Linked DNA regions of Mus musculus. The protein of the gene in region 4 interacts with the protein of the main gene of each other region in a pairwise test. Links are inferred from orthologs where the notes say so. Each region holds a gene or a part of one and is shown on either strand. Other genes may lie near its edges. The genes, in order: Zfyve21, Rab33a, Lnx1, Rabac1, Ndrg4, Rab1a and Mief2.

The links.
Region 1: the proteins of Rabac1 (region 4) and Zfyve21 interact in binary tests that used the Homo sapiens proteins (3 or more experiments, as listed by UniProt). The two-hybrid records come from large-scale screens. The link is inferred for Mus musculus from reciprocal best matches to the Homo sapiens genes RABAC1 and ZFYVE21.
Region 2: the proteins of Rabac1 (region 4) and Rab33a interact in binary tests that used the Homo sapiens proteins (3 or more experiments, as listed by UniProt). The two-hybrid records come from large-scale screens. The link is inferred for Mus musculus from reciprocal best matches to the Homo sapiens genes RABAC1 and RAB33A.
Region 3: the proteins of Rabac1 (region 4) and Lnx1 interact in a two-hybrid assay, tested with the Homo sapiens proteins (2 studies listed by BioGRID and IntAct). The link is inferred for Mus musculus from reciprocal best matches to the Homo sapiens genes RABAC1 and LNX1.
Region 5: the proteins of Rabac1 (region 4) and Ndrg4 interact in binary tests that used the Homo sapiens proteins (3 or more experiments, as listed by UniProt). The two-hybrid records come from large-scale screens. The link is inferred for Mus musculus from reciprocal best matches to the Homo sapiens genes RABAC1 and NDRG4.
Region 6: the proteins of Rabac1 (region 4) and Rab1a interact in a two-hybrid assay, tested with the Homo sapiens proteins (2 studies listed by BioGRID and IntAct). The link is inferred for Mus musculus from reciprocal best matches to the Homo sapiens genes RABAC1 and RAB1A.
Region 7: the proteins of Rabac1 (region 4) and Mief2 interact in binary tests that used the Homo sapiens proteins (3 or more experiments, as listed by UniProt). The two-hybrid records come from large-scale screens. The link is inferred for Mus musculus from reciprocal best matches to the Homo sapiens genes RABAC1 and MIEF2.

Annotation. Positions count from the first base shown.
Region 1 is NC_000078.6:111,824,018-111,826,770, reverse strand, and holds part of Zfyve21 (zinc finger FYVE domain-containing protein 21), read right to left. Parts: intron 1,919-2,753; coding exon 1,843-1,918; intron 1,755-1,842; coding exon 1,663-1,754; intron 1,196-1,662; coding exon of another isoform or gene 1,139-1,195; intron 1-1,138. UniProt on the Homo sapiens protein: Plays a role in cell adhesion, and thereby in cell motility which requires repeated formation and disassembly of focal adhesions.
Region 2 is NC_000086.7:48,517,536-48,522,229, forward strand, and holds the start of Rab33a (ras-related protein Rab-33A), read left to right. Parts: upstream 1-1,749; 5' UTR 1,750-2,065; coding exon 2,066-2,323; exon of another isoform or gene 2,324-2,340; intron 2,341-4,694.
Region 3 is NC_000071.6:74,700,065-74,704,501, forward strand, and holds the start of Lnx1 (E3 ubiquitin-protein ligase LNX), read right to left. Parts: upstream 2,840-4,437; 5' UTR 2,728-2,839; intron 2,609-2,727; exon of another isoform or gene 2,408-2,608; intron 1-2,407.
Region 4 is NC_000073.6:24,969,752-24,974,334, forward strand, and holds the start of Rabac1 (prenylated Rab acceptor protein 1), read right to left. Parts: upstream 2,978-4,583; 5' UTR 2,832-2,977; coding exon 2,776-2,831; intron 2,564-2,775; coding exon 2,351-2,563; intron 2,108-2,350; coding exon 2,010-2,107; intron 438-2,009; coding exon 336-437; intron 325-335; exon of another isoform or gene 259-324; coding exon 170-258; 3' UTR 1-169. UniProt on the Homo sapiens protein: General Rab protein regulator required for vesicle formation from the Golgi complex. May control vesicle docking and fusion by mediating the action of Rab GTPases to the SNARE complexes.
Region 5 is NC_000074.6:95,712,130-95,715,616, reverse strand, and holds the end of Ndrg4 (protein NDRG4 isoform C precursor), read right to left. Parts: intron 3,293-3,487; coding exon 3,254-3,292; intron 2,440-3,253; coding exon 2,285-2,439; 3' UTR 661-2,284; downstream 1-660. UniProt on the Homo sapiens protein: Contributes to the maintenance of intracerebral BDNF levels within the normal range, which is necessary for the preservation of spatial learning and the resistance to neuronal cell death caused by ischemic stress.
Region 6 is NC_000077.6:20,199,709-20,204,382, reverse strand, and holds the start of Rab1a (ras-related protein Rab-1A), read right to left. Parts: upstream 2,972-4,674; 5' UTR 2,754-2,971; coding exon 2,731-2,753; intron 1-2,730. UniProt on the Homo sapiens protein: The small GTPases Rab are key regulators of intracellular membrane trafficking, from the formation of transport vesicles to their fusion with membranes.
Region 7 is NC_000077.6:60,726,788-60,731,302, reverse strand, and holds the start of Mief2 (mitochondrial dynamics protein MID49), read right to left. Parts: upstream 2,906-4,515; 5' UTR 2,736-2,905; intron 2,641-2,735; exon of another isoform or gene 2,577-2,640; intron 1,021-2,576; 5' UTR 1,015-1,020; coding exon 868-1,014; intron 674-867; coding exon 511-673; intron 388-510; coding exon 1-387. Other genes in the region: Flii (protein flightless-1 homolog), read left to right, coding at 4,114-4,176. UniProt on the Homo sapiens protein: Mitochondrial outer membrane protein involved in the regulation of mitochondrial organization.

The DNA.
Region 1 (2,753 bases), on a different chromosome or scaffold from region 4:
ATCAGACATTAATTCTAAAATCAAAGCAGTCTGAGTCCCACTGGCTAGTGGACTGGGCATGCAGACAGACCACAGCCAGGAAGAGGCCTGACTTCCTTGCCTGCAAAACCTCTGGCTGTGGGTGAGAGTAGGGGTGGGGGAGGGGGTGGTCTTACCCAGAGAGGCTTTCTGACTCTGTAATAACTCAGATGCTTCAAAACCCACCTGAAGGCCTTGGGCTGAGCTGCCTCAACCAGACTTGTACAGCTTCCTATCTGGGCTATACCGGTTTTTGTAAATAAAAATGTACTCAAACATGGTCATGGCCACTGCTGGCTGTGGCTGTTTTGAGCTTTGTGTAGCCATAAAAATTTTAACAACCCCCTCCTCTCCGCCGCCAATGGAGGCCAGAGAAATGATTCCGTAGTTAAGAGCACTTACTGCTTTTACATAGGACCTAGGTTCAGTTCCCAACTTAGAAATGATGGCTTACAACCATCTGTAGCTCCAGGTCTAGGGGACTTAAACCACTGTTCTCCTCTCTAAAGGCACTAGGCATGTGCACTGTACACACACACACGTGCAGATATTCCTGTGCATGGTACACACGCAGATACTCTTGACACCCCTGGGGGAGGGTGGGGGCGAGGGTGTCCTAGTGGAGGCCAAGGAGTGAGCATCTAGCATAGGAGATCTTCAACCGGCTTAATGCTCCGTGCACCTCACGTACCTCCCTGTGGCGTTCCATTGCTGGGCCTCTGAGACTAAGCTGGAGGAGCTGAGTGAGAGGCAGGGACCCTGGAGGCCAGGGTCTGAGTGAGGTAAGCTACTGGGTACAGTGATGAAAGTTGCCGCCCACTGCATATGCCTGGTGCTCAATCGGCAAAGGAGAACCCACACACTTGGCCGATACTGATAGAAGCTGTCAACTCCTGCATAACTTCTCCCTGGGAAAGAACTGAGCAAGCTTCTTTGTTCTCTCAGGACACTTTGACTTGGGCTTTATAGGCTCTTAGGCTGAACCTAGAATCTCTCTTAATCAAAAAGAAGTGACCCCAAGTTTGAGAATCCACCCCAAGAGATAGAAGCAAAGGGGCCAGAGGAGAGACAGACATCACAGCATGCTGGGAGGAGGGACCCAGGGAGGATGGAAGCTGACCTTCAGAGGCAAGCAGGCTCCCCAGGAGGCTGGTATAAGTGTGAATGTCTTTTTCTACTTGAAGGTAGGCAGGCAGTGCAAAGAAGAAACAACCAAGAGTCAGTCAGAAAATGGAAAGTAAGATGCATTAGGTCAGATCTGCAAGTTCAGAAAGTGCCCTGTGCAGTTCAGCCGATGGAGTCCACTGAGCTCACCAAGGAGTGACCGAGGACCTGGGCTACACAATGCCTGCAGGGGAGGCAGTGACAGCAGGCCCGCAAGCAGGCTCCAGATCAGCCACCACCACCACAGACCTTGTCTGGAACCTCAGACTGCATCAGGAGCACTGTCTAACAGTGACTAAGATGACCTAAGTCACAGGCAGACATGGACAGCAGGCTAATCTCCCCTCATCATCTCCTCTCCACTTACCTGGTGGGTTCTAAAGTTACAGACTTAACACAGCCCCAATAAAGAGCATGGCGGGCCATGTTGGGACCAAGTGCAGCACCTCCTGTGCCCACATAGGTACTTAAGGCATGTACCTCCAGGAGTGAAGCCTTCTGTGAGAATCTGAACAGTACAGACATGTGCAATCTCGATTTCACGATGACTGTCCCCATCCAGAACCAAGCACCTGTAACGAAGAAAGGAAACCCTAAGACTGAGGCCTAACGCTTATGACAGCGCTGGCGGGCCAGTGCCGGCGGGACGTCTACTCTTACCTCTGGTTGTTGGAAAGACGACAAACCATGGTCTCGGGCTTCTCTGAGTCCCCAAAAGTAACAAGGAAGGTAGCTCCTTGGAAGACAAAACCAAACCGCACATGACACTGCTTCCTCCAACTGCCACCAGACCGTGCTCTCAGGCCAGCAAAGCTCTCCTCCACTACCACATGGGAAGGGACAAGCTGATACAAATGACAGCTTTGTGTTTAGAGTCCCTTTGGTTAGGCAAAAAGGCAATAATGAATTAAGGATCTCAAAAGCTTAAAAAGGCACTGCTTGGAGACTGGAGAGGCTCAGTGGTTAAGAGCACTGATGCTCTCTCAAAGGACCTAGAATCAATATCCAGCACACACACGGTGCTCAGTTCTGCCTATAACTCCAGTTCCGGGGGAATGGACATCCTTTTCTGACCTCGGTAGACATGAGGCAGGCACATGGTGCACAGATGTAATGTAGGGAAGGTACCCATCCACATAAAGGCATTGCTGCACATACAAAGCTTTGAAATTTGTTACAACCTTTAAAGGAGGTGAGCAGGTGACCAAAAAATAGTAACCCTACCCTAGAGCAGAGTGAACAAGACCAAAGTGATAGAGAAGAGGCTGGCCCTCGCCTGTGGAGTGCAGACAGGCCTACAGCAGCAGGGCTCTGCTACTTGGGAGGCAGGTTTCACCCCAAGACAACTCTCCCTATGTTCCTTGGTTCCCTGAGAACCAGCTTCTGCACCTGCTACAGCTTGTCTCCAGGCCTCTCCCCTTAGGGCCATGCTCACACAAATTTGACTTGTAGTGACAGCTTTCCATCTGGGGAAGGTGCTGCTAGCTGAGGCTCCCTGTCCATTTGATGGCAGTACCCACCAATAAGTCAGACATTTCCATCTCTGAAGTCAGCTCTAGACTGCTTCTAAG
Region 2 (4,694 bases), on a different chromosome or scaffold from region 4:
GGCAGATGGAGCCAGAAGATTAGAACAGATGGCCAAAGTTAGTATGAGGCCAAGCAGAGCAATCCAGTCAGAAGCTGAGAGAAGCCAGTTTGAATCAGTCAGCTTAGAGAGGAGTTTGGGCCAAAACAGCTGACTTGAACCAGTCAGACAGAATTCAGAAAGAGCTAGAAAGGATGGCCTTATTCAAAAGTAAGCCTTAGAGGTTGAAACCATTCTGGGCCTAGAGTAGATTATACAGAGTCTAGAAGCTTCCAATCCTAGGCCTAGGTTAGCAGATGGAAGCTGTAAGTCTCTGAGATGACAATTATACCAGGTGAACAAAAGTTACTTTTACATTTTTCCTTAGTGGGAATGGATTTCATTACACTGAGGCTTCCTGTAGATCAGCCTCACATGCAAAATGGCAGCTCATGTGTGCTGCTGGCTCCCCTGACTTTGATGACATTAGCAATATCTCATATGTTGATGCTAATGGTATATGTCTGTGATACCTTAGCCTATGAAATATAAGGGAGATGAGCAAATTCCTAAAACAAACATAAAATGGGTACTCATTGTTGTATGCAAATCGTACCTAAGTTGACTTCATACAGATGTTAAACCTGAAAGTCACTTTTGGGAGATGGAATATGGGTCTTGACCAAGTTGTGTGATGGTTAGTAAGCCTTGGGAAGCTACCCTCTGAAATCGTAAAAAAGTTGTATTCATTTATCATCTTCCAAGCATAATCTAGGCTTCTGACAAATTAGACCCAACCACTATATTCTACATTCACTTGCAGGGGGTGGGTGGACCCTCCTTGGGATTCCAATTCCCCTTCAAACTCTGCCAATCTGAAACACCGTATGGCTTTGTGAAGGGCTCAGTGTATCAGGAATCATGGGGTTTATGCCGTGTCCTAAGTGCCCTCACCTGGGCCTGTAATGGTTAGCCACAGAAACAAAGTCCCCCTTTGCTGGAACTGTCCCCACTAGTTCCCCCTCCTCCTAGCCTCTGTATGGCCCTCTCCCGCGGCGGGCCTTCCTCATTGGCCAGCCAAACACAACCGACTGTGGCAGCCAATGGGAACCACCCTCCTGAACATTCAGAGGGTGGGTGCTCGTGGTGTGATGAGGGGAGGTTGGCGCCTGGTACGAGCCCCCCTACATCTGGCAAGTCTTTGACAGAAACAGTAACACCCCCTACACACTCACGCCCGTGCCCCGTGTCTGCCTCCTTTCAGCTGCGTGGGGGCCCTCCACAAGCCACTGCGTTCACTGGTGTCCTGGCAGTGTCCTCCCCAATTCCTTGGGCACCAAAGAGTGCACCTGCTTACTCAGTAAGACTGAATACCTCCTTTTCCTAAGACTTGGTGGGGGGAGGCAGGGAACCACAGTGGCGCAGCTGTCAGTGGCTGTGGAGGTGTGAACAAGGTATCTCAGATCCCGACCCCTTAATGCTGCACCGGACTCGAAACTCTCCTGCGATGCCTTAGGGTACAGCGCTCTTTGTCTTCCCCAGCTGTGCTCACTGCCCACCGAGCCTATGCGCTCAAAGTAGGGGTGGGAAGCCTGAAACCCACCACAGAACTGGGGACAAGAAGAGAAGGCTCGCCTGAGGCGCTGTGTTCCACACTCCTCATCCCTTCCCTGTTGTGCTTAGGCTTTCTCCCTCCAGTGTGTCCCTGGGGTCCAGAAGGGGAGGGTCTAAGCAAAGGCGCGGCACAGCCTGAGCCTGCAGTCCCAGAGCTCACACACCGGCAGAAGGAGACCTCTCAAGGCTGGCCCAGTCTCCATTTCTTCTCTCTCAAGCTTTTGTGTCTGTGCCTTTGAGCTGAAAGGAGGGTGCACTAGGAAAGGAGGAGGGGTGCCTGGGGTGAGAGCACCCTCTTCACGCGCGCGCGCACACACACGTTGCCGGCGCACGCACACACGGGCGGACACACACTTCCAGACGCGCGTGCGAGCACACACACATACACACACACACACGCACAAAGCTCTCTCGCTTTGAGCGCACTAACGTGGCCGCTTTCTTTGTGTGGAGCCCTCGAGTGGGGTTGGGACCCGGGTCCTGTCCCGGGGAGATGGCACAGCCCATCCTGGGCCATGGGAGCCTGCAGCCCGCCTCAGCTGCTGGCTTGGCATCCTTGGAGCTCGACTCATCGATGGACCAGTACGTGCAGATTCGCATTTTCAAAATCATCGTGATTGGGGATTCCAACGTGGGCAAGACCTGCCTGACCTTCCGCTTCTGCGGGGGTACTTTCCCAGACAAGACTGAGGCCACTATCGGTGTGGACTTCAGGGAGAAGACCGTGGAAATCGAGGGCGAGAAGATCAAGGTGATCCTGCTGGTCAGGTCCGGGCAGGGAGGAACCTGGGAGGGGGTTTCCGCCTGAGGTATATTGCTAGTGATAATAAATGACTAGCTTTGGCTGTGTCGCCACCTGCCGAGCTCAAGACCCTGGGCACATCCACAACCCTTTTAGCTTCTTTCAGGGGCCCATCCCCACCTAACCCAAATTTTCTGGCAAGCCAGGGTGGTTGCATTCTTACCCTTTGCCCCTACCTGACAGCTTTGGCCGGGAAAAGCAGGTTTGAAATTGTTCTCAATCCTAAACGGGAGAGACACCCCTGAACACAGAAAGGCCTGAGACATCTCTGGTCCTAGTTTTGTGGGATGGATCTCAAAGCACTTTACACATTTTGAGGTCCTTTCTACCTCTTGGGTGCCAATAGGCTGCAAAAAAGAAAAAAAAAAGTCATCCTGGCTAAGCCCTGTGACATTAGAGAGGTTGGGAATAAATGGAGCAAGAACACGGCTTTATTTTAGAATGCAGTTTATACTTGTGAGTAGAGCTGACTTGAGATGGAGGTGGCATGGAGCATGGTTATGTCACAAAGCCCTTTTAAAGGCTGAGACACAGTCACCTGCTGGCTCTTCATAATCTCCCAAAACTTGTTCTTTGGGGGCAGTCCCTCCCAGATGCTTGCTGCTTTAGATCGGTTTGGATGAAGCTGGTGAATGAAGAGCCCATTACTCATTCTACTGGCATTGTCTTCAGAAGGCTTGTTGGGAAACACACAACAACTTCTCTGAGGGTCAGGGGGAAGTGCCTTGACATAGTTTACTAAATAGGCCAAGTACAAATATTTTTGTATGTTCATTTAGTGTAGCGAAAGTAGAAACTCGGTAAGACAGGGTATGTCAGTGTGTTGGGAGGGGGTAGCAGGAAGCGGGGTATGGCAAGGACAGCTTTGTGTGTCATAGAAAGCTTGTAAGAAGACACCGGGGTTACTAAACACCAAGTCCTCTAGACTCATAGCTGGCCTTTGCTTGAGCAGGACCCCCGGGGAAGTCAGAGATGAAGGTAAACTTGTTGGTCAAACAGCTGAAGGAGACACATGCCCTGTCCTGTGTTCTGAGTGACACAGAGTGAAGGACTGGTGAACTGGAGAGAATGACAAAACACCCCAAATTGTGCAAGATTTCTTGGTGATCAAAATGATTGCATTTTAAAATGACTTCAGCAAACAAGCCAAAGCACTGTGCTTTAGGAAGATGGGTGGAGAGAGAAGGAGAGATTCTGGGTCTGGGAGATAATAGATTCTTTTGAACTTCTGATCTATTTTAGCTCTTTCCAATCTGAGGCGACAGGGATGGCCTTTTAAAGCCAATGCGGGGATCTGTCTTTTTTCTTTTTCAAGGACTCTTCATGTTGAATGTTTGCACAGGTCAGGGCTTCTTCCTTGACGGTGCCTAGTTTCTTTAATATATGGCTATAAGACATTGGAAAGTCTAAGACGTGATTTTTTTATAATCAAAGTAGAAATAAATCAATGGATGCATTTTAAAACACCTTCAGAATCATGTTTAATGTTATCATTTACTTAAAATCAGCTATTACAGTGAGCTGAAGTGTTTCCTGGGCTTAAAAGTTGGAGCAGCATATTAAATCCCTCTGAAGTTTGAGTGGTGGGGAAACAGAAGTGCATGGGAGTCTAGGAGGGAAGGGAGATGAAGGGGGAGAAAGGGAAGAGGAGAAATGAGGGGTAGGAGGTGAACAGTGGATGGAGTTATCAACCAATGGCCTTGGGGAGGGCTTTAAACCATTACCCCACCCCACACCCCACACCCTACCCCCGGCCCTGGCCACAACCACCACCCCTGGACTTAACCTAACTAACTGGCTTTCAAGTCCCTGCCAAATATCCTAGACTTTTTTTCCCCAGAGGGCAGAGCCTGTGACAGTGTGACTCACTGGAAACAGATCAGCACAACACCCCGTGCAGATAAGTGCTTAATATGGGTTTTGAGGGGAAGATGATATTTCTAAAAGGACAAAGCCTTGTAACACAGTTCAAGGAGGAACCTCTGAGGACAAATTGGGCAAGAAACCTCAGTGGAGTGTGGGACCTGGGACATGCTGACCTCACTCCCCTGTAAGCTGTTGAATCGCTAAGGCCAAAGCTGGCAGGTGAGAGACCAGAGTGTCTGTGGCAAGATGGCAGAACATGGCAGCTGGCAAGAAATCAAGAAGGACGTAGATTGTGCTTCATGCTTTTTCTGCAAGAAAAAAAAGTACCAAAACATGGTTAGGGGTAGGGGTAGGGGTAGGGGTACGGTTAGCCCCATAGTTCAGCCAGCTATAGTAAGCTATCAGATTATAAGTAGAAGCCCTGGCAGGTGAGTGGTAGAGACTTCTCATTATC
Region 3 (4,437 bases), on a different chromosome or scaffold from region 4:
GATTGGGGAATGCAGGGGCAGGGGTGGGGTGGGAGGTGTCAAGGCAAGTGATGGGCAAGGAGCCCGAGGTCCTTCCTTTGAGTCCCCTTCAGCAAGATGTAGTGTTTTTAAGGTTAGAATCCAGTCCTCAGTTCACTGGGCCCTTGCTCTTGAATGGCAGAAATGTGTGTTACACTTTGGGAAGAGGGTGGGACCAGAAGAAGCCCGCAGCGGGTCTGGGACCACAACTGCTCTGATGCAATGATTCAAGGTCATTGATGGGTACAACATATTCTATTCATAGGTGTGGATTTTATCCAAAGGTTCTATGAGCCTTCCCTCCACAGAGTGGTACAGGTTGCAATTATCTGTCACCTCTCATACTGACCTGGCCAAATGCTCATGGAGTCTGAGGTAGAAGATGTTTGACTATGAGATTAGAGGGGACAAAGTACCCAAGGCTACTCAGGGTGGTAGCATGATGAAAACGAACTGGGCTCCCTGAAAGTCAGAGCACTCAACAACGACAACAACAAGACTTTCTCCTGAACGCCCGTTAGGAACTCACACTTTGTGAATGCATCAAAAGAGCCTTGAGCTGGGGACAAGAAGGAAGAGCGACCACTCCAGACTCTGCTTCGCCAAGGGGGCTGGCAGACCACGCTGCCTGGCTCAGGGAATGACAGCTTGTTCATTCTCCTTCCTCCGGACTGTTGTGTGTTCTCCAAACTGTTAACAGTGGTGTTAATTACTGACAATTAATTACAGTAATAAGAGCCGGGTTCTGAACCAGTGCAGCCACAGGAGAGCTACATGGGCTCACACACGTCCAAGCTCCCAGAAAAATTCCTCCAGTAGAGAGGGACTTGGCTTTCATTTGTCCCTGGCTCAGTACCAGGCACTGCCTCTACTCAGAGAACCACATTACATAGTACTTATATCTCTTATCCTACCGAGAAGGAAATGGAGGTCCAGAGAAGTTCAGTAATTTGCTAAAGGATGTAAAATCTCCTAATCGCACTGGTATACACCTGAACTAGTGGAGTTGTCATGGCAACTTCTCAGGGAGAACACCTGCAAGTTATCCAACAAGCTACCCCACCCCTGTACTAGACACTGACTGGACTCTGATTTCTGCCCTGTCATGGTTTTTTTTTTTTTTTCCTTTTTCTTGAATTGGGGGCAATAAAAACATAATATTATTTTCCTATGCAGTTAGAGACAATGATCAAACAATTTGTTATTTAATAATAGGTCCATTGTTTTAAAAATAACTAATTAACCAGGTATAGGAGAAGGGGTGAAAGTTTGCAGAGGTTTGGAACATCAAAGACAAATGTATGGCGTACAAAATCCAGGCTATGGGGAGTCCTTCTCTCACCTTGCTCACAAACCTCTGAATCAACTGAGAATGTTATTAAGGCATCAACGGCAGTCACTCTGCAAACACACTAGCTTAGAGGACAATACTGGGCACAAAGGTCAGCTAGAAAAGAGACTACGAGCTTCCCAAGAGTCAGAGAGAAACCAGTAACAAGCACAAAGCAGACACTTACCAGCAAGAAGCAGCCGTTCGAGGGCAGTGCGTTCGTACAGTTGGATGTTTGGCATGTTCTTTTACTTTTTAGAGGGCTGTCTCTGGGCTTATTTCCTAGTGGATGATTTCCTTATAAACCCCGCTGCTAATTTAAGACCCAGGAAAGGGACTAATCAAAGTCTATAAAATGGAATGTCTCAGGATTCATTTATTTCTCTCCTGGAGCTTCCCAGCTAAGTTGATAAGAAGACAGATTGGGGACTTGTTTCTTTGCCCTTGTTAATAATATTAGCTAGTGGAGTGGGTCTCTCAGGCTCGTTGAGAGCAGGTTATGTGGTCAGGATTAGAAAAATAAATATGGGTCCTTGAGGATTTACAATTACTTTTAGAGTCGGGTCCTAGCAGAGCAGCCTCTTCCATATATTTATTAATATAGAAAAGATAGAAACAACAAGAGAGTTTCAACAATTCAAAAGCCAGGCCTGGCGTTACATTCTTGTGGCCTTGAAGGGTAATCTTTACTTTAGCCAAAGGTCAGCAGGCAACCTATCTGGCCTGAAGGTAAACAGTTCTAATCCAGACTGCTAAATATTTTCCACAAATAAAGGAAACTAAAGGATTTTTATGAGAGAGAGAGAGAGAAGGAGAGAGAGGGAGAGAGAAGAAAGCTTATAAATAGGGAGCCAGAATTTATTACCTTTAGTATTGACTTTCTATTGTAAACAACAAGACCTAGGGAAGTATTACAGCTTTGGATCAAAATTGCTTCAGATGACATGAATGCAAGCAAGAAAAAAAAAAAGGACAATCTGAATTTTGTGAATGTCCCCAGCACCCCACACCACCCCCTACACACACACACAAAACAGGCTGAACTGGTCTGCACATTTGAACTAACTTTCAAAAAGCATCTCACCTCACTTCTCTCAGGGGTTTTAAAAAGAATCAGATCAACGTCACCAACAAGTAGAGGCCGGATTAATAATCAGGAAACAAAAATGATTAAATATCTGGCCGAGATAACGTTGCTGGCCATGGAGTAAGACTGGCGCAGACATCTCTACTCTCAGAGTGTTACTCTGGACTGAGCCAGTAAGTGGTCTTTCTTTTACTTTTTCTTTCTTTTCTTTTCTTTTTTTAAATTCAGATTCCTTGTTCAGATCCCTTTTGGGCCAGAGGTCTAAAGAGAGGAAAAAGTAGTTTCTTCTCACCTGTTCAAAGATGTTTGGGACTTTCAAAGCAGCAGTGACCAGCCAGCCTCCATCCCTGTGCCAGAAGCGTCTAGGGCCGCCTGAGCTGTGACCGGTCTCAACTTCGGTGTACAGGTGGCTGGAGGAAGAAGAAGGGTATTGGTTGGTTCAGAGCAGGAAATCTGTGACATCACGGAAGTCTGGCTGAGACCTTAGGGACTAAAACATCCCCAGAGGCTCCGCCCCCGTCAATTACCTGACTACCTTGGAGCAGGTAGGTGGCGTCTCTCAGAGGACAAATGAATCAGTTAGAGCAATTTGCCAAGTGGAATTTACTTTCCTTTCTGAGCATAGCACGTGTCTAGCCCCGTGTACAGATCTGAATGCGAATGCCTGATTGTTTCCCAGGCCCATCTTGTATGCCTGATATTGTTTCCCCTCCAGGCTCACAGGAGCCCACACAGCTGCCAACATCAGAATTAAAAGGGAAGTTTAAACACTGGAAGGAGACAGGGATTTTTGTAGGGGGGGGGGGGGAAGGAAAAGGTTGTGAAGACTTAGCCATATCTGGGACTTGTCCCCACTAACGCCTTTCTGAATCACATCCCTTTGAGTTCCTAGTGTTTTTCTGTCCCAATATTATAACAAACCAGAGATGACCTAAGTCTACTTAAAAAAATCTAATTTTGATACCTTTCAGCATCATTTCCCAAACACCTTCGCGGTCCCCAGCATATTAATAATAGATTCAGGCATTGGTAAAACTTCAGGCATTCCTACCTCGGCCTGTCTGTCACGTGGTGGTTACAGTCCACAGTAGGCCTGCAATTAGGAGTACTTTAAATGATTCAGGTTAGAATGATAGCGCCTTACTAAGGCCATGTTGTCTGCAGGGAGAGATAGGGAAGAGGACTCAGGGCTATTTTGGTCCCAAGCTTGGTGTGTGACCCTGGACAAGTCACCCTTGCTTCAGCTTTTCCAGCAGGCTAATGGCACGACTCAGCTGGCACTTGAGTGACAGCTAAGAGGATTCCTGCCTGCTGGTTAAGGCCTGTGGCATCTTGTCCCATCAGCCTGTTGAATTGCTGTGTGTCTGTGGCTCGCAGCCAGCCTCCCTCGCAGATGTAGTCACTGTTCGGAATGTGCTACCTGGGGACCCTGGGGAGTTCTCTCTCCTGGGTTGGTCCAGGCACACTTTGGTCCCCTAACGAAGAAAACGTCTGCTGAAAATCTTTCCCCCCTCCTGATCTTGAAACTGTAGAAGTCGCCTGTTCTAACACCTCACGGCCTAGCCGTGGTTTGTGGGCGGGACTAGGGGACAGCTAGAGTTAGAAATAGTAAAAAAGCACCTTCTCCCTGAGTGCCCACATTGGTAGCTGGCTCCCTGTCACTCGGTACCTTGTAAAGTAAAAGGAGAGGGTAGCAGAAGGAAGATGAAGTTAGCGCAGGAGGCAACTTCAAATCACTGGTTCACCCCAGACAGGCCTAAACAGCGCATCCATCTGGGACCAAGCAGCTTGGGACTCTTTAAAACAAACACATACACACACCTCTCTTCGCTACTTTATCCAATAGAAACTAAGGGAGGCGTGGCTACCCTGTACCGATAAAAGCAAAAGGTTCGAAAAGGAGGGAGGGGGAGGGGGTTGGGGCTTGGGGGTTGAGGAGTGGGAAGATAATAAAGGTAGTTGAACCTTTCAAGTGCAGGTTTTTCGAGGCAGGAGGTGGGGG
Region 4 (4,583 bases):
GGCCAAATAGCAATTGTAACAGCTTTATTTCCAAAGACAAAAGCCCCTCCCTGGGTTTGAGGCCTCAGGTGGAAGGCTCGGAGCTGAGCAGCAAGGCCAGGTAGGACGAGAACAGACAGAGATGGGACAGCCGGCCGGCAGGAGAGGCCGGCAGGTCCTGGAGGACACTTTACACAGGTTCCATCTGCAGCTCCTCGCCATCTGCAGGCTCCATCTGGTGGAAGGCAGCGTGGGAGCCTATGAGTACCAGCGTGGCTCCTGTAGGGGGATGGGTGGTTCAGGCTGTGCTCTTTCGCCTGGCTCCCAGCCTCACCCTACACAGACCCTGTACTCACCCAGGACCCAGAAGACAGCAGAGCCAGCACCGGCCAGCCAGAAGAAGGGGAAAGAGACGCCACCAGCCAGGGCATACTGATGTGCTGGGCTCACCTCCCGGCCTGGGAACAGATGGTGTAAGGTAGCCGTTCCCACCCGACCCTTTCCCACAAGTGTCCAGGGTCACTTTCCACCCATCTAGTGTCACAGACTCTGGAACCTTCCATGTAATAATACAGACTCCTCACATCAGTGTCTCCCATACCTGGCCCCTACCCTGCCTCCCCAAAGCCCCCTGTCCCCATAACAACCTTCCTCTGCCCCACCTCTGCTGTCTAGCTTCACCTCTCCCAGGAGCCCTCAGGTCACTTCAGACTAGGGCCTGATGTTCCACCCTGGTCACCGGGAGTCTCAGGCTGGTGGCTCCACAGTCAAATCTGACCTAAGGATTTTTGTCCCCTTTTTTCCTTTGTTAAGATTTATTTCTTTGAATTGTGTGTATATGCCCTGCACGCATACGTGCCCAAGATCAGGTGCCCATGAGGAGGTGGCCATGGGCACCCACCTGACTTGGGTGCTTGGAACCAAACCAAGAACAGTACTCAACTGAGTACTCAACTGCTGAACCATCTCTCTAGGCACTTATTTTGATTTTTTTTTTTTTTTGACAGGGTTTCTCTGTGTAGCCCTGGCTGTCCTGGAACTCACTTTGTAGACCAGGCTGGCCTCAAACTCAGAAATCCGCCTGCCTCTGCCTCCCGAGTGCTGGGATCAAAGGCATGCGCCACCACCGCCCGGCTAGGCTTATCCTGAACTTGTAGCAATCCTCCTGTTTTAGCTTCCCAAGTGCTGGGATTAGAGGCACAGGCCAGCTTCTGGTTTTAAGGATGTGTTCTTTGATGCACCTTGCGAGAATTTGGTTTGTGGGGGCTGGAGAAGGTGACTCAGGAGTTAAAAGCACGTATTCTTCCAGAGGGCCCGCATTACACATTTTTTAAGGCTAGGGCATAGCAACACACTCTTTAAACCCTAGTACATATATATTAATTTCCTCCACCCCCGCCCCACGCTCTCCTATGCCTGAAAAGTGTGTATGTCCTAGTGACCACTACCTGCAGAAGCCAAGTTCTGACCTGCTTCAGTCTATTTCTTTGCCACAGCCTATCTTTGTTTGGTCCTTAAGCTTGCTGGGCTATGAAAGACTTATTTTAAGTCTCCTCGGAAACTTTTGGATTCCCCTCATTGGGTCTTCCCTGACACCTTTCTTTCCAGTGGTCCTGGTGACAGTCTGGGGCCACCGGACTTACAGATCTCAGCCTTCCCCTCTGAGAATCATCAGGGCCAAGACTTGGGAAGGAACACGGATCTAGGCCTGCATGAGGTCGCCACCTGGTGTGCAGTGTGGGTATCTGCAGCTGATGCGTTCCGTGGGGGGGGGGGGGGGGGGTTGAGTGGAATTGGATTAAGTCATTTACAAGAGACAGAGGTGCCAGGGCTTTGGGGTCTCTCTGGGTTTGGGAAGCTGAGACTGGAGGGGAGCACCTGGTGGGTCTAAGCCCTTAAAGACCAAGTTAAGTGACTCTAGTGGACAGCTCGGTGGGGGCCGTCTTGGGTCCCAACTATTCGGAAGTTTGCATTCCGTGAGACCACGATCAGAAAGGCCCGAGGAGCCATTTGGGCAGGAGATTTCTTACCAAAGAGTACAAGCTTAGACTGCAACGTGCGCAGATAGAGAATGTAACAGGCGCCAAAGAAGACAGCCAGAGCCACCAGCAGCATGGGAGATGTCACCCTGGAAGAGTGTGGGAGACAGGAGTTAGGTATCCGAGGCTGCGTCAGCCAGGCCCCTCTAGCTTTGGACACAGACTGAGGTTACGTCCTTCTAGGCCAGCGAAGGCCACATCCTGGTCAGGTGAATGCAGGAGTACAGACTGACCGGGTCCTGTAGTGACAAAGTGGGCTAACTGGTCTGGGCGGGGCCTGGCAGCCGGGGGCGGGGTCTGACTATCGAGGGCGGGGCCGCAGAGGCACTCACACGCAGTACAGGATGAGGCCGAGAAACACGAACACGTAGTTGCTTTGATAATACTCCACGTTGCGTACCAGGCGCTGGCAAAGCTCTCCCACATTGCGGGGTCGCGAGAAACGTTGCTGGTCCACGAAGGTGCCCCAGGGCCGGATGGTCGCCCGGCGCCGCTCCAGCCACTCTCGGCCTGCGCCGGATGGAATCAGCTTGGGCAGCAGGGTCCTAATGGGCAGGGCAGAGCAGAGCAGCTGAAGGGAGGGAGAGGGTAGAATCTGGACCCCAGATTCTAGCACACCTGGTCCCAAGCATGACCTTGAACCCCTAGGAGGAAGGGTCCTGAGAGGGAGCCAACAGGACTGAGTCCCTCCCAGGACCTCTGAGGAGATGAGGGACTCCTGCATCTCGGATCTGGGGGTAACACCCTGCTTGCTCACGTGGCGCTCAGCCCTTCCCCTTCGGCATCCTTCTGCTGGTCCTTCTGGGCCGCCATGTCTGCACTGCAGTGGATAGAACCGCTGTAAATAGCCCGGAGCCCAGCAGCACCTAGGCGGCCCCACCCCAGCCGGGACTCTTTGGAAGTGGCGTCGTTGGGAGCTCTAGAGGGCGGTAGTTGTTCCTCCAAGCATTGTGGGTGTTGTAGTCATCGTGGCGTCAAGAGGCAGGTTTGCCTCGCAAGACATCTTGGGAGATGTATGCTAAGAGCTCGTCGGGAGCCTCTAGGCATTGTGGGAATTGTAGTTTCAGGAGGCTCAGCGTGGACTACAGCAGGTGGACTGTCAGGACAGAGGATTTTGTGGGAGTTCGAATGGCAGAAACGTACTTCCGTGGACCGTGCAGAGCTGTCGTTCTGGCTCGAGAGAGCTTAATAAAACATTGTTCGAAAACTCAGATATTCTGATTCTAACTGGGCAAGTCTGGGAAAGAGTTCATTTACTTTTTCTTTCCTAAAAGTATTTACTTTGAAAGTGAGACAGGAGAGATGGCTTACTTGTTTCTCTTTCAAAGGATCATAGCTTGGTTCCCAGCATCCACACCCAGTGCTTCACAACTGCCCGAAACTCCAGCTCTAGCCAATCAGACATACTCATGTGCACATACCCACACTCAGATACACATGATTTAAAAATAAATGTTTGCATTTTAAAAGAAAAGATTTACTTTTATATGTTTATGCGTGTGTGCCACCAGAAGAGGGTTTTAGAGCTCCTGGAACTGGAGTTACAGGCAATTATGAGCTGTCTAGAAATCATGGGTGCTGGGAACGGAACTCCTCCGGGTTGGGATTTCAGTATGGGCCACTCAGCAGGAAATTGTGTCTGGGTTTCCCACTTGGGGTCCAGCATTGCTTCAGATCAGTGGAGGACTGCAAATGTACAGTTAGCCTAAAGACTAAAGAGGGACACCACAAGGCCAGAGTACTGGAAAAGACAGAGAACCTTGGAAACCAGTTTGGCGGCAAAAGTCAGCTGGGTTTGACTGCTATGGGAACCAATTCAGTTTCTTTAAGAGGACTAAGCAAATTCTTTCTATTTCATGACCCTCAAGTCTCTGCTGCCCTGGTGGGAGTCGGGGCTTCGGGAGAAGGCAGTGGAGAAGGCAGTGGGATCCAGAGGCAACACTGTTGCAGAAAGTGGCAAACTAATTCAAAGAATGTAAGAAATTTGAATACTGGGATTTTTAGGATAGGTGTCTGGAAGCTGGGAAAGGAGTCCTTTGGGACAGTGGAAGCGAGGACCCTGAGGTAGAGATGTGATGAGGCAGGGGGTACTTTCAGGTTCCTGAGGGAGGAGGCTCACGTTAGATGGGTTTTGAGTCAGTAGGTAGTAGGAGACATCCGAGAAGGCTGTGGGAGATGGGACTTGGCTCTGAGCTCTTTCCTGTGCTTCCCAGAGCAAGTGGCACTGGGAAAAAGCCAGAAGATATTAACAGGAACTCGAGACCTTGATCATAATGCCGGCTGCATGACTTCAAGGGGCCTCCCCCACTTCTGTCCTGTGCTGAGTCCCTCTGTCAAAGCGGATGCTCCTTCCTGGTGCTAGGTGATTGAAGCAGAGTATGTGGGTGTCCCAGGAGAGGTCTTGGCCCATGCAACTCCTCCCTCCCAGGATCGTCTTGTCCTGAGATCACCAGAGGTCACAGTACAAAGAGCCCCAAGTGCTCCAACCCTGAATGGCTGATCCTCCCCTCTCTGCCTCCCACCTGGTGGGATTACAGGTGGTCACCGCTAGAAAATGGCCAGCTT
Region 5 (3,487 bases), on a different chromosome or scaffold from region 4:
ACGAGAGACAGAGACAGAGAGGAGAGAGAAGAGAAAAGAGAGAGAAGAGAGAGACAGAGAGAGAAGACAGAGAGAGACAGAGAGAGACGCTGGAAGTAATATAAGGTGAATGAATGATAGCACAAACGGTAACATGGAGAATTCAGTAGTTTAGTTTCAGTACCTGGAAGGTTGAGGGGGGTTTGTGGTTTACTGGGAGTTTCTGGCAAGCCAGACAACAGAGTGACACCATGTCCCAAAACAACTAAAACCAAGCAAATAGTGTTGTGCCCTTGCTTTGAAGCGGTCTTTCTTGCTGGCTAAACTTTCTGCTCAGCTGTGAAATAGAGTTAGTATCAGGACTGGTAAAATTATATCTCAGTCAGAGTATATAGCCGCTTGGTAGAACCTTGACCATCATGTATAAACACCCTGGTTCAATCTCTTATCACCCTAAGAGGAAAAAAAAAATTAAGCAGGGTGGCCTACATAATTCTAACACCCATGACGCTGAAGTAGGATTGCTGAGTATTCAAGACCAGCCTGGGCTACAGAAAGATTGCTCAACCCTCCCCCAACCAAATGTGTCTAACAGGCACTATCCTCCAACTATCAGCGCCCTGGGGCAGCCAGGCAGCCTAAACAGTTGAGCCTTCCCTGTGATAGGAAACACGACACACGTAGACTTAATTTCTTTATTAGTTTTTCTGCACAGTTAACTTTCTATATCAAGGATTTTTGTTTTGCATTTTGTAATCTCAAAGTCTCTTTATCAGCCACCAAACAGAATACACAAAATTAGGCTCTTAACTTTGTACAGAGAGGAAAATAATGAACTCCATTAAAAGTTCATCTTGACCAAAGAGAAGACAACTACCAATGGGAAACCACATACAGGAAGGAGGACCTGATATACATACATATATATATATATATAATGTATAGGTATTTATAGATATCTTAAGAACACAGCAAAAAGATGTCCAATACTTGGAGTGCTATCTACAGTAAGGGATTAGTTCTACCACCTCTAAACAGTCACATTCAGTATTCACGGAAGCACGTGAGTGAACTGAACCGGGGATAGGAAACACTCCACTGGACTCCAGAGCAGTCTAGAAATGGCTTACAGTTACAGAAAGGGGCGGCATGTGCCACAGATAAATGGATGTGGGTGTCCTCTTGCCTCAGAACACCCATACAATACCACATACATCATCCCCACTCCCCATATACACACTTAGTGCTTTCTCTCCTCTCTGGGGATGAGAGCAGATGAAACCAATGGCCAGGCTGTGAGCGCCTACTTGGTGAGATGGCGGGCATAGTTGTGGGCTGTAGGAGGCATGGAACCTTTGTTTGAGGATGGCCCATTTCCCACCCAAGGGCCAGGCAATCTCCAGCCCCTCCAGCAAGCAGAGGTCATTGTATCTTCCCATCTGTGTCTTTCTAACAAGCTCACTTCTCAAGTATTGTCTGTGACACACTGGCCCAAGTTGACCAGGGCACTGTGACAAATACTTGGTGAAATCTGGGACAAGAGGGACCTACAGTACCTGCCAGCTTCCAAAGGGATGGGTAATCATGAAGTTCTCAGGGGCTACACACAGCATACACAGCAATCAACATTTTAACCTCTGCCAACAGGGACAAGAGACCAGGTGACCTTTGCCTCAGGGTGGGACAAGGCCCTGTGGTGGCAGGGTATGGGGGTTCCTGCCCCCATGTCAGGGTTCTCCATATTCTTCAGCCTGGCTGGCCTTACACCACCTGTCCTGCCCAGAGAGCACCAGGAAAATGGCTGTCTGTCTAGAGCGCCCTCTTGTGGCTACCATCCTCATGACTGTCACTTCTACTATTAGAATAGGTGTGCTTGATGCAAGGGTTACAGGAAAGGGACACTCTTAAGGTCCAAGGCTGCCCACTGGTCTGACTCCCACTCACATCAGAGCTTTAGCTCACTACCCACCATCTTCAAACCTCACATCTGCCAGATCCAGGGGCTGGGCTGGGCTTTCTTCAGTACTGTATCTAACTATCCTGGCCACGCCCCAGCTGGGCAGAGGGGAGGGGCCACACTGAGTGAGACAGGAGTGTGTAAGGCGAGCCCCTCACACCATCTAAGACTGTTGTGCTGTGCTGTCCCAAGGTGGATCCCCTCATTTCTTTTTAAATAAAAGAGAAGTAACCCCATTTCCTCCCCTTCACTCTCACAAAAATAAAACTAAAGGGAAGATGAGCCGGTGCAGAGATGGCAGTGGGACCTGGGGGCAGGTAAGCGGGCATCATGGGCAGGACGAGGGCTTCAGCAGGACACCTCCATGGTGTGGTTGACCTGGCCCATCCCCTCACTGCTGTCTGAGTGGGCGCAGGGCTGAGGGCGGCTGCCGTCCACGGAACTGGCGCTGGTGAGGGACGCGGTACGTGAGCGTGCGAGGCGGGTCATGCTGGCTGAGGGCACTATGGACAAGAACAGAGGGTCCTGAGGACAGGCAAGGTGGGTACCGGCCGGTGGGAAAAAAAAAACAACACAAGCAAAGCGGCCAGTGACACCCAGTCTTGCCACACGCAGAGGATTCTGGCACTGGCTATACCAGGCCAAGGCATGCAGGACCAGTCAGCAACGGTGAGCAGGCCAGGCTAATGGGCTACAGCCAGCAGGTGCCTAGGTCCCAGCAGCTACCCAGAGCTATGTATGGTCAGAGCAGGGCAGGTGCTTATAGGCACCCTGACCTGGGATAGAGAGACGCTCTGTGGCCAACTAGACCTGCATCCAAAAAGTGACAGGGGTGGGGTAGCGTGGGTGGAGGGGGGGCAGGATTGCTTCTGTGAAGGCAATCAGCCACAGACTGCCTGAATCTTGCTTCTACTACTGTAGGTAAGGCCAGTCCACCTAGAGGCTGGGCAGGGGGCAGACAATGTCTGCAAGGCAAACCTAGCACTGTTGTGTTTGCAGGCTCTGCTTCTAACTCCCAAAGCTCTGGAAGCCCCACAGCCCACGGCAACCTAGAAACAAGACGGCTGCTCTGAGACCAGCCAGTGTGTCAGGTCCCACACGGGACGGAGCCCTCAGCAGACCAGGGTCTGTGGAAGAGCAGGGATCCTCCGGGGCTTTGAGCTGAGCATAACACAAGAAGGTTCCACACCACAGCAAGACATAGTGCAGCTGCAGCACTGCAGAGGAGCGGGGCGGGTTAGGGCGGGGCAGGGAGGGGCGGGGTGTCCATGCATCAGCAGACAGGCCATGGGCTATAGGCCATAGGCCATGGACTACCTGCTCCTCCACTCAGCCTTCGGTCCTTCAAGTGTGCAACTGAGAGAGAAGACAGCCAGAGAGGGCAAGGGTGGGGGAGACACAGAACACGGTGAAGAGTGGACCAGGCCCAGGGCACCGAGATGGGCCGAGATGGGACAGACAGACCAGAGAGGGCTAGCCTGGGGAAGCCCGCTGCTGCAACCCATCCAAACAGCAGCAAGGAAGCTGTCTGGGAATTCTCACTCTCCCTCT
Region 6 (4,674 bases), on a different chromosome or scaffold from region 4:
CATTCCTCTTCCTTTTCCCTCCTGAAAAGCCTTCCGTGCTTCACTTCTATGCTAATAATTCTCTTTTTCACCCTGCTTGTTTAGATTATTGGGGGAGGGATATATGTGGAGAGACCAGAGAACAACCTGCAGGAACCAGTTCTCTCCTTCCAAAGATGGAACTCATAAAGGTGGCAGATGCCTTCGTCTGCTGAACTACCTTACTGGTACCCTGGGGTAAGTTTCTTACTTGTCTCTTCTATAACAATCTTCCAAAACCCAACAGCCAACCAGAACAAGTGACTCCCCTAAAACCACACTGATCTGATCCATGTTGCACATCTGCATGCAGTATCTCCTAATATTTGACATGGATAGAATCTAGTCTGTATGTTACATCACAGGCCCCTTGAGGCTAAGGCTCACACTCCGAAGTCCAAGCTTACATTAAAATGATTTACTCTACTTACAGCATGATCTGGATGGAGAGCTGTCCAAAACATCTTTTATGTACTCATGAACCACACTACTTACTACTTTAGTAGGCAGTAAAAAATGACTTTTTATACTACTTTATAAAAAGAGAAACAACGTCTGAGTAACATCAAATTTTTGTTGCTTAGTTAAATCTCTTACAGTATTAAAAAATAAACACATAACATGGGCTGGAGAGATCAAGTAGTAGTTAAGAATATGTATTGTTCTTGCAGAAAACTCTAGTTCCATTCCTAGCATCCACATCAGCTGGTCACAAGTACTCTTAACTCCAGCTCCAGGAGGTGTCTCTAACCTCAGCAGTCCTCAATCTGTAAGTGGCAACCCCTTTGGGTGTCAAAGGACCCTTTCACAGGGGTCACATACCAGATATCCTATATCAGCTGTTTACATTACAATTCATACAGTATCGAAATTACAGTTATGAAGTAGCAATGAAAATGTTATGGATAGGGGTCGCCACAACATGAAGAATTGCATTGAAAGGTCGTAGCATTAGGAAATTTGAGAAGCATAATAAAAATACTTAAATACACACCTAACAAATATAGGAATCTCCTCAAATAGAACAGGAATTTCAAATAGAAATTAGAAACCTTCCTAATATAACAAATTCATCTTCTTTTTGGTTTCCACAAAAATCTAATTAGGACCCCCAATTCAACTTTGCTTAACTAAACTAATTTTGCCCTGGGAGAGGGGCTGCAAACACAGCACCTGTGTCTCCATGTGAACTGTTCCCAACTTTTTCAAGTACAGAAGCCTGGCCAAGCACATAGCTCTGTGGATACAGTGCCTATCTGAGTTCAATCCCTGAAGCCACAAAGGAAGAATAAGCTCCCAAAAGTTGTCCCCTGACCTCTGAAGCAAGCAAGGTGACACCTGTGCACCTGCAATCACAGGCATCACACACACAATAAAAAAAAGTATGTAAAATTCTACCAAGATACTAAGACCTCTGCTTAACACAAACGGAAAAACCATTTCAGTATTAAACCAGTCTTAGAAAACCTGAACTTAGAATGTCTTTTGCAAGAGTCATGTGACACGCACATGACAAGTCAGCCGAGCTGATGGTTGGACCTTTCATGGGGGCACACTTAGCGGTAACTGACCAAAGCAACAAATAAAGCCCAGCTTTTACGGCAATAGTGATTTCTCTTATTAAAAACCAACAAAAATCCCTCTCCCTTAAAGATTTCTGACACTAAAGTATAATAAAAATGGCATCTCTTAAAGTTATTTTCATATATGGAAACCATAGGAGAATTTTGGGTTCAAAGAGAGAGCCTAACAATGTCTATCCAAGAAAGGAGAAGCGCAGTTCCCATGAAAGGTGCCAGGTGTGTCACATCTGCTACAGTGACTTCTTGAGTAAGCAAGAAAAAGGAATGCATTAACTTTTCATGACACGTCATGGAACCTCATTTCCTATCTACAGGCATTCAAGCAGGTAATCTAAAACCTACATACAACTCTATCATCAAAGGCCCCATTAGTTTCTTTTCAAAACTGTCTGCAAACTTGTACTTTAACTTGGTGGTACCAGGAAGACATTTCTAGTTTATTTTTAGTTCAGTTTTGTTCTTCTTTTTCTTCTTCTTAACCTACTGGAGACAAAAGGTGACTGGGAGACTCATGTCTCCCCTAAACCAAAAATTTCACAAATGTCCAGGATTTTGTAAGGGTCACGTCTCACAAGTCTCACAGAACTCTCCCAGGAGACAAGCCCAAAAGAAAACTAAACATTATAAATAGCTCCTCACCATCTCCTCATCCCCCTCAAGCCCACGCAGTCCCAAGAAGCATCCATATTACCTAAAACCCAACAGGGAGAGAGCTCTAACAAGCTCGGGATTTACAAGTAAAGCCGACGCTGACAGCTCCGCAGAGCCGGCGCAGGGTCTGACAGTGCCCTCTAGCAGAGCTCTCCCACCTACCTCCCCTTAAAACCAAGTCCTCCTCCAGCCGTCACTGCCTCCAGAGACGCGCCCCTCCTGGCTACTGTCCGAGGCCCTCTCCCCAACGCCCAGCCGCGGCACCTAGCTCCCCGCCGGCTGCGGTCGGGACCCGGCCCGCAGGCCCGACCCCTCCCCGCTGCGCTGCGGCCCTCGGCCTTCAGACAATGGGGCCCTCAGGCTGCTCCGTCTCCTTCGCCCGGCCGACCTTCCCGGCGCTGCGCAGCGAACCTCCCGGCGGCCCTCACCCCCGGCCGGCCGCTCTCACCCCGGCCCGCCCCGGCTCTCCTGCACTCACTATTCGGGATTCATGCTGGACATGTCACTGCAGCTGCCGCCGCCGCCGCCGCCACCACCGCCCTTGCTGACGCAGCCGCCGCCCCAACTCTCCGCGCCACAGGTAATGGAAAGGGAGGAATGAGCTAAGCTGTTCCGGTAGAGCAAACGTCGACCCCACTCCGACCCTTAGAACACAATCAGCAGCCGCCGCCACTCAGTGATCGCTTCCACCCAAAATGGCCGCCGGCGAACCAGGAACTGGGGAAGCCTAGGCCAAGGGGCCTGGCGCGGCCCAGAGGGCGGCAGCGTCGCGGGGCACGCTGGGAAAGAGAGTCATGAGCACACCGCGCGCTGGGCAGCCCGACCGGGCCGAGGGCTGTCTGCACTCAGCTTCCCACTAGGCCCCGCGCCCTGAACGCATGCGCACTTTCGAGCTTGTAGCCCGCCCCGTCCCGATTCCCTCACCCCCACACCCCGCCCTTCCTGCTCCCCTCCCCGCTGGCCTGCTGGCTAGGACTTCGCTCGGACTCCCCCTAGCGGATTGGCTAAGGCCGACCGGGCTGTGTTGATGTCATCAGTGAGACGTGGCAGCAGGGCGAGTCGGTGCCCCATCGGGAGGGGAGGAGGAAGGAACTCGGCGGAGGGCGGTGCCGCAGCAGAGGGGGAGGGGGCTCCCAGGAAGCCTGGGACAGTGAGGAGGGGTGGAGACAGCTTGACGAGCTCTGCTCAGGCAAGACCACAGGGGCCATCACCATCAGGGTCTGAGGCTGCTCTAAGGACAGCAGGAAACTCAAGCGGCCTCTGTAGACCTTGCGCTTTCTCACTCACCCGACTCCTTCTCTAATTTTTTTTTTTTTTTTTTTACCGTTTTACTCTAGCAACTTGATGTTGCAATAGCTGCAAATGGACCCTGTTCTAGTCTCTCTTCTGCTCACACAGCCAGATTTCCCTGTCTGAAACTGCTCCTCCATCTCGACCTCCAACCTTTAACATTGTGCTGTTGAGACACAGGCTAAAGTCAGCCTTAACCAGTCTTCTCCTCCTACTTGAGGCCTAGACTTAAAAGTTGAATTGTTTTCCGGGATAGGGTTGGGTTGGGTTGGGTTGTTAAGTTTTGTTTTTGTTTTTTTTGAGGGGGGGGGGTTGCAGTTGCTTTTGCTGCTCTTTGTTTTTTATTAGTACTAATTCTGTGTCCGTCTGCACAACTGGGCAGTAATAAGTATTTTTTTTTAAGCCATGAAACTCTTCAGTACGGACTCCAGAACTAATATTAATACATTTTTTTAGACCTAATGGTGTCAACTTTAATCAGCTCAGGAATTTAAATCTCCGCTAAACTTTAACGCATTATCTTGCGTTATTTATTACAAAGGGCATAGTATAATACACTGACCAAAGTTTATCTTCCAACTTGTTCTAAGCAAGAATATTATCTCCTGGGGCCAACTGTAGATTTACTTTTAATTTCTGAATTTCTGTGACATCAAAATATGCAAAAGAGGCTGTTCTCATGACTAACCATATACTCAGAACATATTTACACATCCCTCTGGCGTTCCTCCGTGTGTCCTGACAGCCTCATCAGACCACACATACATAGTTTTGGGAGTTTTCTTGTTATTGTCTGGGTTTTGGTTTTTGGTTTTCTGAGGCAGAGTTTCTCTGTGTAGCCCTAGCTGTCCTGGAACTCCCTCTGTAGACCAGGCTGGCCTCGAACTCAGTGTTTCCCTGGCCTCTGCCTCCTGGGTTCTTTTCCATACTAACTTCTGAAATGACCCTAGATGGAGGTTTACAGCCCTGGACCCTAAAGCCCACCATACTTCCTCTTATCATTTCACAGAATAAAAACTCTGAAGTGTCCTAAACTCAATTTTTCAAGCAAAAATTTTGTTGTTATTGTTGTTTTGTTTTGTCTTAGGATTTATCATGTAAGCCAGACATAGCATGCCTTTGACCCCAGCCC
Region 7 (4,515 bases), on a different chromosome or scaffold from region 4:
GAAACTCAAGCTGAGTCCTGCGTACAGCCCAGCATCGAGGCTCCCTGGCCACAGTGTCCACGCCAGGTACCAGGCTCCATAGCCCCGGCTCCAACTCCAGAGGCGCCAGCAGGCGCACGTGCTCAGCAGTCCCTGCCTGGAGCCCGTCGTAGAGAGGCCCACCCGGCACGAGTGCACCAAAGGGCAGTTCTGGGAACTTGCTCCTCAAGTAGGCCTGCAGCTCCAAGGCAATGTCTCCAGCCAGCTGTTTCGCCAACGTCACGTGGGCTTCTGGGGTAATCACATGCTTGCGCTCGAAGGCCAGCAGCCTCTCCTGGAACGTCAGGCACAGGGGTGCTATAGTGCTGAACTTAGGTGTCGTGGGAGAATGAATGGGCGTGGGCTCCACTGCGGAGGGAAGCATCCAGGAGAACATATTAGAAGGCCCCACAAGTTAAGAAAACTCGACCTGCTCACTAGCTGGGCATGTGCAAGGGGCTCACCACACTAGAGAGAAGCAGTGTAGCTCACCTGGCACAGAGGGGGAGGGGGACCCAGTAGCTAGGGGCTGGCTGAAGGCAGCAGGAGGGGGTTGGGGCTTTTGGGGCGATGTGGCTCTCAGCAGGCTCAGTTCCTTCCAGCTGTCCCCCTTGGTGTCATCCTCATCTGGAGGGCTGGTGGCCCTGTCGATGAGCTATAGGCAAAGTGACACAGATCAGAGCATCGGGGGCCATGGCAAAGCTGGGGGGAAAGCAAACCAGGAAGCTAGGGTGAAAAAGTAGGGGCCCCGTGTTCCAGTCCAACCTCAAAAGTCCCACCGTCCCCCAGCTCCCCAGTCTGGCCTTCTCCTGTGGAGGTTTCAGGCAGGCCTTGCCCCCTTGGCCTTACCCGCTTTACAGCCAGGGTAGCAATGCCCAGCACTGCAGCCCCGCCCACACCTAGCACCAATCGAGCATTAGCCAAGAGGAAGTCCACCACACTGCCCAGGCCCTCGCTGCCGCTCTGTTTCCTCTGCTTCTGGGAGAACTCTGCCATGGTCACCTGCAAAGAGATGTAGTTCGTAAGGCATAGATGCTTAGCAATGACCAAGAGGGTGGTTTCTGGGGACCCGTGAGAAAGGGGCTGCTCAAAGAGTTTCTTGGAGGGAATCAGGGGACCTGCCAGCCCCCTCCCTGAATCCTGCAAGCCTCCAAGCCCTGGAAAAGGGTTCATATAGGAAGGATCCAGGCCTTTCTCCTGACTCCACCCCAAGACCTTGGGAATCTGGGTTCAACATCACCACCCTGAGTCTACAAAGACAAAAGTTGCCAAGCCACAAACTGAGTGCTAAGGTCTGGGATTCACAGCACAGCCCCCAGACTCTTCCACTCCCAAAGCCTGAGTATTTTCCCCATGCCTCCTGGTCGAGTTCCCTCACTCCTAATCAGAACCTACCCAGAACAGCCATACTGTGTGAAAACCAGTCAGGAGGAACCCAAAGGCCCAGAAATACTTGTAATATGGGTTTCCAGAAAGTTTGCCTGGGTGGGGCCTGTCAGACCTTTGATAGACCCTTAGCAAATTCAGGAATCTAGATAGTGGCCCCCCCAGACCTTGACAAGAAAACTACCTGGGCTAGGGCAACCCCATCAGAGCCAGGCTGAAGGCCCCAGGGTGCAGTGGTGAGTGAAGTAGGCTTAAATAAACACTGAATCAGGACAAGCTGGCCAGGGCCCATGGACTCGGAACAAAGTTGGAGAGGGTAAGAAGGTGAGAGAAAGGCCCGGAGCCAAGGGCTTCTGTTTATTTGTACGACCGCACCAGTAAGGACTGGGAAGTGTGTGACTGGCCCAGTCAGGAACTTGGGAAAAAGTCACAGAAATCCACAGGCCCAGGCCACTAAGCCAGAAAGGTCATTGCCTGCCGGGGCACCAAGGACTTCAGCCCTTCTTTCAGGGCCATGGTTGCCTTGGGACTCAGTTGCCAAGTGACAAGATGCCTAGAGTAGCTGAAGCCTTAGGCACTGTGTGACTCAGCTGAGACACCTGTCCATGCTCCCCAGACTAAAAATAAGACCCTGTCCTCGAGCCTGGTAAGGTCAAAGGGCAGCCAGGGAGCCTACTCCAAGCTCAGAAACAGCTCTGCTCTGTTACTGCCCACCACTGCCCTCAGAGCAGTAAGCCACTCTGCAAATGGAAGGGGCTTGCATTCCATCACCTGTCTAAAGTGGGACTCAGCCCTACACCTAGAGGGGTCTTGTATTCAAACTCCAGTAAGAAAGGAATAAAATAGGTGACTAAATATAACCCACTTAGGCCCTATGTGGTGGTGCAGGCCTTTAATTTCAGCACTGAAGAGGCAGAGGCAGTCAAGGCAAGCCTGGTCTACACACTGAGTTGGAGGATAGCCAGAGTTACATAATAGAGCCTCTATTCAAAACAAAACAAAAATAACAAAATAACCCGACTCTTGACAGCCTGAACTTCACCTGTTCTTACATTCTGGCCAAAGCTGATTGCTTCTGATCATGACTGAGCAGAAACGTGTAACCAAATAGGCTCTTAGACTCTATTCAAGAGCGAAGTCACTGTGGCCCTGGAAATCGTGTGCAATACCCAAGTCGGGAAGAGGCACCGCTGGGATTCGAACTCTGCTCTTCAGTTCCCAAGTCCTCCCTCCCACCGCAGTGACCGCAGGCCACGCCCCCACCTGCCCCGGGATGCGCGCCACGCCCAGTGCTGGGAGACACCGGGCCACCCGGTGCGCTGTAGCCGTACCTGCGTCCGAGCGTCAGCGCATGGACCCAAGGACAGGGCGAGTAGGACCCTGGAGGCCCAGGACTCGCCTAGGAATGGAACGTTCAAACCCCGGGAACCGAACGCCGAGGCCCGAGGCGGCAAGTGACCCGAAAGGCACGCTGGATAAGCAGGCCTTCGCTCCAATCCGAGCGCACAACTCCTGCGCACACGTGCTCAAAACGGAGCAGCTCAGCCAATGATCGCCAGGCACGCCCCGGGACCGTCTGGGGCGGAAACCACAAGCATACTCCGGATTTAAAGGCGCAAGGTTATATTGATAGCGCAAGGGGGGCGGGGGAGGTGGTGAGTGTGACAATCATTCAGGGGCTTGTCTAGTTTACTTACTTTCGGGTGTTTTGTTTCTTGAGAAAGGGCCTCACACTAAAGCCACAACTGACATCGAATTCTCAGCAGTCGTACTTAGTCTCACATCTGACCTTGTGTGTACTTGTAATGAGAGCCTCAGTGTGGAGTCTGAGCTCATGGTCCCTTGGTGGGCCAGGCAGACAAAACTGCAGTTAGCCCAAAGGCCCACATTCTGCCTCTCAAGTTCGCCCCTGTTAGAGTGCCTGGTGGTTCCATTTCCGTTTGGCCTGCCTGACACATAATGGGAAAAGAGCTCTGCCATCTGTCGTGGGAACTCTATCAGTCTCTTCCCTCCTGAAACCCGGGATGCCAGACCCTGGACTTCCATAGAACAGCTGTGTCTGTTTATGGGAAACCTACTGTATGCTGGCCAGGGCAAGATGGCCACTAAGAGCTTGGCCCAGGAGATATACACTGATCTAGAGCACAAAACAAATCAATAAAGAATGGTGACTGGAGTCCTGATGCCAAGGGAGAATTGTGAGTGTTTGTGCAGCCTGCTCTCTAAGCTGCCACATGTGAGTACTCTGGCAACTTTGGGGACCGTGTTACACATGATCAAAGTTGAGTCCTGAAGCTGAAGGATTAGGTCCCAAAGCCCCGGAAGTCTCACCACTACCACCACCACCACCACCACTGATCCCTCACACACAAACTGCCTGTGTCCCTGACGTTGTTACCACCATCACTCCTGGGTCACGGCCAGCCCCAGAGGCTACAGCAGCCCAAGCGACAGTGCCTGGACCCCACCCTCCACGTTCCGACAGGAGACTGGAAGTGTTGATCATCTCCAGCGGGACCCCTACAGGCCTCCCCAGAACTCTGGTCCCAGGGAGGCCTCGCAGCTCTGGGAGTCGCCTAGCAGCACTTCCCGCAGAGGCCGCGGCCGGGAGGCGGCGCGCGCGGGTTAAAGGGGCGGGGCCGGCGCTGACCCAGCCCGCGGCTCTCGGCCGCCCCGCGTCCTCCCTGCCCGTAAGAGAGCTGCGCCACCATGGAGGCCACCGGGGTGCTGCCGTTCGTGCGCGGCGTGGACCTCAGCGGCAACGACTTCAAGGTTAGCTGGGGGAGAAGGGGAAAGGCGACCCCTAGGCCGTCTCCCCGGGCCGCTTCCTCTGCGCTTCCGGGACCGGCGGGCGGGGCGGGCGGGCCTCCGCGAGTCTTCCCGGGCCTGCCCCGCCCGGGGCGGAAGACCTGGGCGGGGGCTCCGGGGGTCTGGGGCCGCGCGGGATTTGAGCCCTCAGGCCGCGAACCGGACCCCATGCCACCGAGGGAATACGCCCTAGCCAGCCACCGCCCCACACTGTGGTCTCGGGACGTCACTTCTCCCTCCGCGAACTCGGGGTTCTCTCCAGTCCTAGGGGCTCAGGAACAGCCCGTTTGGTGGCGTGTAATG